Linked DNA regions of Astyanax mexicanus. The protein of the gene in region 3 purifies or fractionates together with the protein of the main gene of each other region. This does not show direct contact. Links are inferred from orthologs where the notes say so. Each region holds a gene or a part of one and is shown on either strand. Other genes may lie near its edges.

Region 1 (3,756 bases), on a different chromosome or scaffold from region 3:
TATCTTTAATTCTGATTATTATGCTGCATATAATTTATTGACTATTGTGTCGGGTGTCATTATTACTGAGAGAAACTTCAGATATGTTCACCAATTTCCTCTGAAAATGAGTTTTGCTTCTGTCTATGTTGTGATGTATATTTAAAGTTATACTGCTAAACTGATCCGCAAACAAAAACACAAAAGAGCAATGTTTCACATCACCAATCAAATGAAGTCAATTCACAGTATCAACCACTGCCTTAAAATGTTAAGTGCAATGTCATGTAAATGTGCAATTTTACATGAGAATAAGGAGGTGAGAGATGGCACAGAATCTAACGAGGCGTCTTTGAGGGGTCACAGCAGCTACTTTTACTGAATAAATATATCTGTATATGAAATTTAGTGTTTTTGTGAATTTCAACTTGTACTGAGATAAGTGGTGAATGTCCTGTATTTTCTAAATGAAATTAAAATCTCATATTCAGTAAGTTTTTGCCATCCACATAAAGTGAAATGTTATAGGGATGACTTAAGATAACATGGAAATAATAGGTAATCAATTGAAATAGTTTTTCAGGTGTTTTGACACATGTATTTATTTTTTGTTTAATGGACAGTGTTGTTATTTTTTAAGAAGAGTAGAACAGTAAACTTGTGTGATACTATACAGATGCCACTAATGCCAACATATTTTAGTGCTTACCTTTCTCTGGGACTGCAGATCAGGCTCAAAACTAAGGAAAAGCCACAGCAGGCAGCCTGCCCTCCCCTGAATATAAAACAGAGAAGTTAGAAGTGCTTTAAATTAAACATTGTGTTGATAGAAAACATTTATAGGGACATTAAGGTGCACAGAATAGGTGTACGTGTATAGTACATTTAGAGTATACTTCAAGTGTATTAAAAATGACACTTTAACACACCTGACTTACTTTACCTGACTTACAGAATGAATGAAAAATACATTAATATACAGCTCTGAAAAAACAAGAGACTACATAAAAATGATTGCTTTGATTTTACCAAATTGAAACCCTCTGGAATATAATCAAGTGGAAGACGGATGATCTCCAGCTGAACTGCTTGATTTTATCCAAATTTATCCAAAAGCAGTGTGTAAGACTGGTGGAGGAGGACATGATGCCAAGATGCATGAAAACTGTGATTAAAAAAACAGGGTTATTCCACCAAATGTTGATTTCTGAACTCTTAAAACTTTATGAATATGAACTTGTTGGTTTTCTTTTAATTATTTGAGGTCTATTTTCTCATTTTAAATAACAATATTTATATTTGTATTTTGGGAGAAATGTTGTCTGTAGTATGCAATACTACTATAATAATAGAAGAAAACAACAATGTTCATTTTACTCAAACATAAACCTTTAAATAGCAAAATCAGAGAAACTGATTCAGAAACTGAAGTGCTTGCTTTATTTTTTCTAGAGCTGTAACTTATGTAGTATCGGTGATAGCTAAGCTAGCTACCTTCAAATGTAAGCAACTACCTGTCATTCAGTCTGAAAACACAGAAATTAACGTTTAAGTACACGACTTTAATAATTACTATACAGATAAATAGATAAAATAGTTAGTTGAATGGTTTAGACAGCAAGGTTACCTACCAAACCTACATCTATAAGGTTACCTACTGAAACCCAATGGCTGCAACACGGAGCTGCTAACTCAGCTAGCACAACAGCTTGCTACTGTCGTTATATGGTTTAAAACGTGTATACAAGCATATTTGATTGATTATGCCGGTTCCTGGACGTTTAAAACATATACACGATTGAAATCTGGTTAGTAAACATTTTTGCGAAGATCATTTTAAGGCCAGCAGCTCACTATACCAATGGCATTGTCAATAGCTTAGCTAAGCTAGCCTAACTAGGTTAACCTTGCTAGCTAGACAGCATACTTAAAACGAACACACGGTGAAACCTTGTGCTTAAAACGCCCAAAAAAGCTTAATTTGGCGTAAAAATAATGCACGATATCGATTTCCATCATAAAAATGCAAGGTTAACTATATATTCAGCTTAGCCAGTGTTAGCTACAATGCCGGGGTTTTGGAAGATAGCTAGTGTTAGCTACCTAGCTTAGCTAACGCCAGGTTAACCCTATAAGTTAGCTAGCTAAGCTAAGCTAACGCAATAACTTATCGTGTCTTCTACAAAAACAACAGCTAACTAGCTACCCAAACGCCAGTAGTTAAGATATATAAAGCTAAACGTGATATAAAAATAATTTATTTAAATTAAAATGTGAAAGAATGATGAGTTCATAAATTAAACCAAGCTGATAGCTAACGCTAACTAAAATGCTGCGGCGCTGCGAAAAAAAAAACATGGCGCCTAGCTTTAGCTTAGCAAGTGTTGGCTATCCAAATAGTTTACCATAATTACTGCTTAAAACGTTAAAACACTGCTTATTTCGCTGGAATGACTCAAATCTCACACGATTTAAGCATCAAAAACACTACATATATTGCAGTAAGTATAATATGATTCATATTATGATATAAATTAGCCACTAACCAGAGACACGGCTAGCAAACACTCTCCTAGCTAACCGATTTAACGACGGACCGAGCGAAGCTGATCGCCCTGTTCCATAATTTAACAGCAGCTCTACTTCACCCAGATCGGTCAAAATCGTGCAGAAATATAGCTTATTAATTATGTCAAGCGAAATCGGATGAAACTCACAGAAATCTATCTTCTCCTGCGCTTGATTTGTAGTTAAACCGCTTCTCGCTCGCAGGTATGAAGCCCCAGCTCTACTAGATATGTATGTGTGTGTCTGCGTGTGTGTGTGTGCGCGAGCTGCAGCGCGCCAAAAACACACAATGGTAGCTGACTACATACACACACACACACAAGACGATGCAGACACAAGCAAACCTGCAGCAAGTAATTCAACACAGTCACTAGTGCAACAAAGCCATCGTCTAAGAAAAACAAACATTTACTATATTAGCTAGATATTATGTAATTTAGATAGCTAAAACATGTGGAACGTGTATAGTGAGTGGCAAGCAACCATGACTGTAGCGAGCTAGCTGTGTGGTTTTGAATGAACAACACAGACGTATATATGTGATATATGTGCATATATATACGTGTGAATTGTTGTAAAAAAGAAAATGAAAGGTGGGCTACGTTAATCGTTTAATATAAAAGCAGAATAACATTTTATTGAGTCTTTAAATCAAATCAGTTTTACGCCTTCGCTGCCGAGCAGTTGTCTATATGCATATTACGCTGTGGAAGTCTCGAGATTGACACGGATCCAAGCCAATCCGAAATGAAAGAACGTAAGCGTAGCACCGTGGCGGGAATTTTCAGCCAATCGTAGCTCGCAGGGGCGGGACAAGTGGGTGGGGTGTGGATATATGGTATGGACCGGGTTTTTTTTTTTCTCCTCCTTCTCGGCGTTTTCGTCGTATTGTGTGTGGCGCAGTTTGGTGAGGGCTGCTGTGCAACATGTCGAACGAGGTGAGTTAAGCAGTTTATTTCGCATTTATTCGGGGTTTAATGTGGTTATGAGTTGTGTATGGGGTTTAATATATGTGGGGATCGAGTTTATGAGCTAAATGATCAGGGTAATAATTTGTAATGGAGGGCAATGGGCTAAGGTTAGCTGTCTTTATTTAGCCGAATGCTAGCGGGTAGCTACCGCCATTTTGTTTTTGTGTAAGGGCTGCCGCTAGCTCGTGTTATGTCGGAATTTGTTACCCGGCGGTTATGTGCTGCTTGCTAGCAGTGC
Region 2 (3,756 bases), on a different chromosome or scaffold from region 3:
TACTAGCGCAACACTGCTGCTACCAACTCGCCAGAAAACACGTCCACTAAACGCTACAGCTGTTTATTCTCTCCTTAAACGTTATTTATTCTGTTAATATGATGTTTTAGTGTTTAATCGCAGGCTCACCTCAGGTTTGTGTGTAGCGTTTTGTGGTCTTCGTCGTCTGCTGCTGGGGCGGTACTGCGGCAGGGTGACACCGCCAGGGCGCAGTGCTGCTGCCACCTCGCGGCCGGAGCGGAGCTGCGCTAAAGTCGCAGCATGATCTGCCGCGGTTCTGGATCTACTGATCATTAGAATAAATAAAAAAATAATTAATTAATTAAAATAAACAAAATAAATGAATAATAATACAGCGCTTGGTCAAAATAGTGCAAATGTTTTACGCCACAGGAGAGCAAAACCACTTCTTGTAGGGCTGGTGAAAAATAATGAATCTCAGTATTATTTAAATGTAGGAATTACTATTACTCAATTACTGTTTAGAGCAGTTCAAATTCAAATTCAAAACTTACTTTTTTAAATTAGTAAACAGGCAGCACCCTTTAAAGTGATGCACAAGCACACGTTTCCTAAGGATTGTTTTATGAGATGGTACATCATTATTATGAGATAGTAAGTCATAATAATGAGATACTAAGATGTCTGTGGGTATTATCATAATTATGACTTAGTATCATTTAATAATAACTTACTAGTGGCAGAACTAGTGAATGGAACTGCAATATGTTAACATATAATAATTTCAAGAATATAAGAATACAACAAAAAAATACAAGCAATACAAAAAAATATGTTCTTTAGAGTATGATTAATTCCAAATTTCTTGTTTTTCAAAAGGGTATGAATCCTTTGTTATGCTATTCCATTAGCATTATGTCAGTTGCACTTAAAATGATAACAATATTGTTTAGCACAATAATTTCTGGGACAATAAATCGTCCACACCAATATTGTGACAGGGCTAGGAAAAAAATAACTATATATCTATCATTAGAACATATCATGGAATGATTAATAACCCCAGACTAATAAAATTGTTTTTTTTTAAAATATTTTTTAAAGGACTAATGTTATGTTCTGTATGTGTAACTGCGCAGCGCCACCAGGCGGGGTCGCTGTTTGTTTCTCTGCCGCGTCTCGAGCCTCATTACTCCGCTCCTCGCGGACCCACGTGGGCAGGAGAGAAAGATGGCAGACGACAGGCTCTGTTTCCACGAGATGGGTTTGGATGATCGTCTTTTAAAGGTATTTATCTCTGTCTGATCAACGCGGTACCGGTGTGTGAAATGCGGATGTGTGTAAACAGATAATACCGTAATAAAAACGTAATAATCAGCTTAAATTCAGCCTTTAATCACCGCGCTGTTTACTGCACCATGTCCGAGAACAGAGGCGCAGAGCCAATATTCCCAATAAAAGCAGAAATCTTCAGTTTAATCGATTTCTCGTAAAGATATACCCCTCCAATCCATAAATAATAAATGATTAAACATTTTAGGTTATGTATTTATGCTTCTGTAAAGTGTTTGTGTTGTGTAATCATACTTACAGCGCCAGTACTCTACCAGAATATTAAAGTAAACATAGGTTTGTCACAATAACACATAACTGTTTTTGTGTTGATAATATATTGTCTCATAAATATTGTCGTTAAATGATAATAATGTCAATTTAAGACAAATGTAACCCCCAGAAATATTGCTAGTGTAATAGCATAATAATACAATGACAGGTGTAATAATCAGTGTAAGAGTAATGAGCTTTTAATTGTGAATATTATACAGGCTTTGTAATTAAAGTATCCTAAAAGAAAATATAAAATCAGAAATTTAATGAGCGATATAAAGGTCAGCAAAAATTAGAAGTCCACATATTGTACAATAATCAATAATGTAATTACTAAGACAGACCTACACCTTATTTAATAATAATAAAAAAAGTCCAGCATAAAAAACAGTGTTTTAAAAATGTTTTCATCCACACAAGTTTAATAACACTTCTTGTAGGACTGAATCGTATTGTAAAAACGTTTTAACTTTTAATATAAGTCTATTTCAAGTTACTTTGGAACACTTCTATTTGTAAATTATTTATGAAAGTTTAATACAATAGAAAAAAAACAAGTCTTTGTATGTTTTTGATAGCGTTAAACATTGTAAAAAGCATTACATGAATTGGCTAAAGTAGAATATATCTATTTAAAGTTCTGAAAAGCTTAGTATTTCATTACAAGTATATAAATTCAGCATTTATAATATATTGTAGCATTCTCACTGCCTTTACGTGTTCCTTTAACCCTGTCAGGCGATCGCAGACCTGGGCTGGGCTCAGCCGACCCTCATTCAGGAGAAAGCCGTTCCTCTGGCTCTGGAGGGAAAGGATCTTTTGGCCAGAGCTCGAACCGGTTCAGGAAAAACAGCGGCTTACGCCATTCCTGTTATCCAGCAGATCCTCACCTCTAAACAGGTAATACCTGACCATGTGACTTGTGACACTTTCCCTTTCCAGATGATTATACCAATACCTGCAGAGCCTATCAAATAAAATTATCAAATAAATACACATATATTACGAATTTTAAAACATTTTACAATCTGAGCTGACTTCAAAAAATGTACTAAATGGATATTAAAATTCAAAATAAATCTGTATGTATTTTTATGGAGCAGGCCGTGCCCTGATAATCCACCAGAGGGTGGTTTCTACTTTCTGTAATAAATTATTATTTATTTGTCATTTTATTTGAGATAATAAGTTTTGATCAATGGCTGTCTTTTTTTTGTTGTGTGTTAGACTGTGCAGGGGGAGCAGGCGGTCAGAGCTCTGATTCTGGTTCCTACTAAAGAACTGGGACATCAGGTGCAGACAATGATCCGGCAGCTCACTGCATACTGCGCTAAAGATGTTCGGGTGGCAGATATCTCAGGAAAAACTGAATTATCTGCACAGAAGTGAGAACACTTTTAATAATACCATTGATTAGAATAATGTGATCAATTTGGTGCTCGGGATGTAGATGTATAGTTGATAACTGTGATAATTGTGTGCATTTTTATGCGTGTTTTTGTACTTTAGGCCCATTCTAATGGAAAAGCCTGATATTGTGGTGGGAACTCCATCGCGAGTGCAGGTCCACATTTCTGCTCAGAACCTGGTGCTGCACTCGTCTCTGGAGATGCTGGTCATTGATGAGGCTGATCTTCTGTTCTCTTTCGGTTTTGAGGCTGATCTTAAAAACCTCATCTGGTGAGTGTTTCAGACTTTATTATTATACAACAATTAACAGTATTTATTTATTGTATTGGAGACTTATTGGACACTAGACAGGGGCTTATGTGTCATGCTGTGCACCACAATGTAGACATTCGCTTTCATGTGATTGGATGAGTAAAGATATTTCTATCTCGTTAACACTATATCACCACTGTTAAACATGGTGGTGGTAGCAGCAGCAACATGTTGTGATGTTGTTTTAGCTTGTGGAATAAATGTTTCTTTACCATAACATTAGAAAAATTTGGACACAGTTATGGAGCATGCTTAAATGTCAGAAAACCAAAACATTTACTGTATTTTTTGCACTATAATGTGCACCTAAAATTCTTAAATTTTCCCAAAATTGTCAGAGTAAAGAAAAAAATAATTGTATGTATAGATTTTACTAGGAGCAGTAAAGCCACTCTGCTGAAGTACAGAGTTATACAGGAGTTTCAGTTTAGTTTCTTCAGCACCGAGACTGAAGCAGTATTAGCA
Region 3 (3,756 bases):
GATGTGGCATTAAGTGGGTATGTATTGGCAATATTAAATTGAAAATTAATTGACAATTTTTGAGGGCCAGGGTTAGGTTTGTCCTGAGTTTTTGGTTTTGTAGATGATGCTCACTCTTCTGGTTTACACTGATCGATACAGTGTGAAGCTTCTTGGTCTGATTATATTTCACTGATCTTAAAATTGGTGAAAATCAAATAAGCTAGTGTTCTGAAAGCATGCGGTTATGTTCCTATGTGCCATAAACGGATTAGAATCGGGTTAGAGAATTAGAAACTGACAGGAATAGGAGGTGAGCAGCAAGTAGGGCATAAAGAAAGCAAAATCATGTAGCCTGAAATTAAAAGTGTTTGTCTTAAGGTAGATAGTATAACAAGGTGTGTTCAAACTTTTGACTGGTAACGTATAATTTACAAGACAAAAGAATTAAAACCTACAGTACAAATCTTAACATTAATGCATAAATTAGGATAAAATATTAATGCAAACTCTGGAAGTAGTTCCCATCAACTGCTTGGCAGTCAAAATAATCTTCTAATTATCTAAACATCATAAACATCATAAGTTTTAAAATTTCACCATAATATTTATATCAGTGTACAGCAGGGTTACACCGTGAGCTCTACACTGTAAAACTCGAACAAAAACACAGTGCAAACAGATAATGTAGTTTAGCCTGTCACAATAATTGTATTATCAATGTCCTCAATATTTATTCCGAATTAGAATATTGTCTATTGTGTTTGTTCACATTCATAAAAGTGAACAGTATTTTAGCCAATGCTTCAAAAAAGTATATTATATAGTATATTTCCCAAATTATGATTAATCGCAAATTTGTTGTCGTTAAAAGTATATGATTGCTTTGCTGTGTTATTCTGTTATCATTATATTTAATGGTCATAAACTGACAATACTATTGTTAATTAATAATTAATCACAATAATTACTGGGACGATATATCAAGATATATCAATTTTATTACAAAATACAAAAAACACATAAACACCCTCCTATTCAGATGTAACAGTATGGTATTGCAGTGTGTGTGTGTCTGTGTGTGTACCCCCCTCTCTCACTCGGCCTAGACATACATTCCTCTCCGATGATTGCCTGCCCCCCCCCCAGTTCTCGCGAGAAGTGCTGCCGCGCAGAGCGGGACAGAGCGGCGGAGCGGCCGCGGAGGTCTCGCGAGATGTGCAGCAGAAGCGATGGTGTAGAAGAGGGAGTGGGGAGAGGGCGAGGGGCGCCCACAAAGATGTTGCGTGATTTTTTGGGGGAATTTATTTATTTAAATAATAAAATATAAAAAAATGGCCGCCGCGGAGAGCGGAGAGGAGAGACTGTAAGTGCAAAATTGCTGTTTGTTGAACGCCGTAAAAACCGCCGCGGAACCGCTGATTCAAATGTCGGGCGCCGCACAAAAAAGCGCCGCTGCTGTTGCGCAGTATTCATTGTAGCTGTACCGGAGCCGCTGTTGGGCTGCGAAATAAATAAATAAAATAGTAGTGCTGTTAGCTCGCCGCGCTAGCCCGTTAGCCAGCTAGCCAGAAAGGCGTTGAGAGGATACGTCACCTGTATTTCCCCCTCTGCCTTTCCCAGAATCGCGGGGGATACGAGCGAATAGCTACTTTCCGCGCGGCTGTTCGGTTAGCTAGCTTAGCTCAGTAGCGGGAGAGGAGCAGGAGGAGGAGGAGGTGTGTTTTGGGTCGTTTTCTGACCTCACTCAACTCTCTGCGAGATAACCTGGCTAGCTAACTAGCTACTACCTCCAAACCTCTCTCTTTATGTGTGTGTTCTCTCGTGAAATACTGTAGCTAAGCTAGCTAGTGCCTCTCTTGCTGCTTGTTGTCCTGCTTTCTCCTTCTTCTCTTTCTTTTTTTTGACGGTTCAAAACTGAACCCGTTCACCCCACCGTGCAGTTAGTTGAAAATAAGTTAGTTAGCCAGCCTGCTATCTATCTGTCATACCCAGAAACCTGCTTCTGCTGTTTTCATGCTTGTGCCTTCTCACAACAATGTTAGTAACTGAAAAACACACAAACTCGTGTCATAGTCGCTTTAGAGCACACACACACAAACACATGTATATGTTAGACAGGCTTGTCTTGTTTGTCTTGTTTGATGGTCAGTCAACTAGTTGGCTTAGTTAGCTTGATGTACAGTTACAGCTGTTGTCTCTGGTCAGTTGAGTTCAGATGGAGGTTTTGCGTTTTTTTCTTTGGGAGAGGATGAGCTGGGGTGAGTGCACTCACTCTGAGCACAAGACACTCCCATCTCATTTCAGATTTCAGGTTAGTTTCTGTACCAAATGGGCCACAACACAGTGCTGCTTTAGGTTGTCACATCTTGGTCATCAAAACATCACACAAACTCTTAGCCTACTACCTGCTCTCACATGGTGGCCTGGTTTGGGGTAATTTTCTGAAATCACTGGCTAGCTAGCTAACTAGCTCCTATCTCCAAACCTGTGCATGTGTGTTTTTTTGGGAACAATTTTTTTTTTTAAATGTGAAAACGGCACCGGTTCACCCCACTGTGCAGTTGAAAATAAGTTAGTTTGCCAGACTGCTATCTGTCATTTCCAGAAAGTTGCTTTTGCTTCTAATGTTTCCATGCTTGTGTCTTCTCACAGCAATAATACTAACTAAAAAACACATAAACTTGTGTTATAATGCCTTTACATTCACACACACACACTTGCTGACTGTTTCTGCTATTTTGTTTGATGGTCACTCACCTAATTTGATGTGCAGTTACAGCTCTCAGTTCAGGTCAGTGAGTACATATAACCTGAAATCATCCACATTTTTCGATGGTCATTCTTAGCAGCATAGTGTTTTTAACCCAACTAACTTCACATGCTATTGCATCTGTTGCTGCTACTGAGGTGGATACAGGTGACAGTTCAGTTGAGTTCAGTTCAGTTCAGTTGGTGGCTTTACTTTTTTGTGTTTTCTTTTTTTATGTGGCTTGAAAACTATACTAAGTTTGCTCATGCTTGCAAATTATGCATTTGGATGCTTTTTAAGAGAGATGAGGACACCCTTAACCTCCAAGCACATTCTTTTCCGAAGCTGTAGTAGTGACAAACATTACCCGAACGTTTGTTGTAGAACATCTAATGCTAGCTTCCACACATGCTGGCCTGATTCTGCGGTCTGTTTGTGTGCACATGCATGCAAATTACTTAGTTAATTAGTTAGGATGGTCTTGTTTGATTATAATTGAACTACCTTGACATACAGCTGTCAGTTCAGGACATTTCTGCTTAATGTTGTTACACCTTGGGAATCAGACTTTCACCCAATCTCGATGTAGTGCCTGCTTTTATATGGTGGCCTGGTTGTGCTTTCTATGGCTTTACCATCCAAGTTAGCAAATTTGTAGAGAAGATAGTTAAACAGTTGGAGGCTTCCATGGAAGGATGAGGACACTAGTATATGTAGTGCTTGCTTTCCGCACACACACACACATATGCTGGGCTTGCCTTTTTGTCTGTTTACATACATATGTTTGCAGGTTTTTTTTAGCTAGTTAGGCTGGTCTTGTTTGATGGTCACCAACAACTTGCCTGCTGTGCAGTTATAGATGTCAGTTTAGGTCATTTGAGTTCAGATGGAGGTTTTTCTTTGGGATTAATGAGCTGGAGTAAGTGCAAGTGCACAAGACACTTCCTTTTAAGTATATATGTGATTTAAGGGTAATTTGGTTGCGTTTCCGATTTCAGGAACACAACACATTGCTTCTTGGATGC

The links. Proteins that work in one complex are often made in the same cells at the same time.
Region 1: the proteins of mecp2 (region 3) and cbx5 purify together in Homo sapiens (affinity purification with western blotting; 3 studies listed by BioGRID, with this or other methods). This does not show direct contact. The link is inferred for Astyanax mexicanus from reciprocal best matches to the Homo sapiens genes MECP2 and CBX5.
Region 2: the proteins of mecp2 (region 3) and ddx56 purify together in Homo sapiens (affinity purification with mass spectrometry; 3 studies listed by BioGRID and IntAct, with this or other methods). This does not show direct contact. The link is inferred for Astyanax mexicanus from reciprocal best matches to the Homo sapiens genes MECP2 and DDX56.

The regions. Positions count from the first base shown.
Region 1 is NC_064420.1:888,864-892,619, reverse strand, and holds the start of cbx5 (chromobox protein homolog 5), read right to left. Parts: upstream 2,820-3,756; 5' UTR 2,697-2,819; intron 755-2,696; 5' UTR 689-754; intron 1-688. Other genes in the region: hnrnpa1b (heterogeneous nuclear ribonucleoprotein A1b), read left to right, coding at 3,474-3,485. UniProt on the Homo sapiens protein: Component of heterochromatin that recognizes and binds histone H3 tails methylated at 'Lys-9' (H3K9me), leading to epigenetic repression. In contrast, it is excluded from chromatin when 'Tyr-41' of histone H3 is phosphorylated (H3Y41ph).
Region 2 is NC_064427.1:2,363,793-2,367,548, forward strand, and holds the start of ddx56 (probable ATP-dependent RNA helicase DDX56), read left to right. Parts: upstream 1-1,123; 5' UTR 1,124-1,191; coding exon 1,192-1,248; intron 1,249-2,307; coding exon 2,308-2,469; intron 2,470-2,796; coding exon 2,797-2,954; intron 2,955-3,078; coding exon 3,079-3,249; intron 3,250-3,756. Other genes in the region: ccar2 (cell cycle and apoptosis regulator protein 2), read right to left, coding at 130-294. UniProt on the Homo sapiens protein: Nucleolar RNA helicase that plays a role in various biological processes including innate immunity, ribosome biogenesis or nucleolus organization. Plays an essential role in maintaining nucleolar integrity in planarian stem cells.
Region 3 is NC_064419.1:4,151,040-4,154,795, reverse strand, and holds the start of mecp2 (methyl-CpG-binding protein 2), read left to right. Parts: upstream 1-1,169; 5' UTR 1,170-1,313; coding exon 1,314-1,345; intron 1,346-3,756. UniProt on the Homo sapiens protein: Chromosomal protein that binds to methylated DNA. It can bind specifically to a single methyl-CpG pair. It is not influenced by sequences flanking the methyl-CpGs.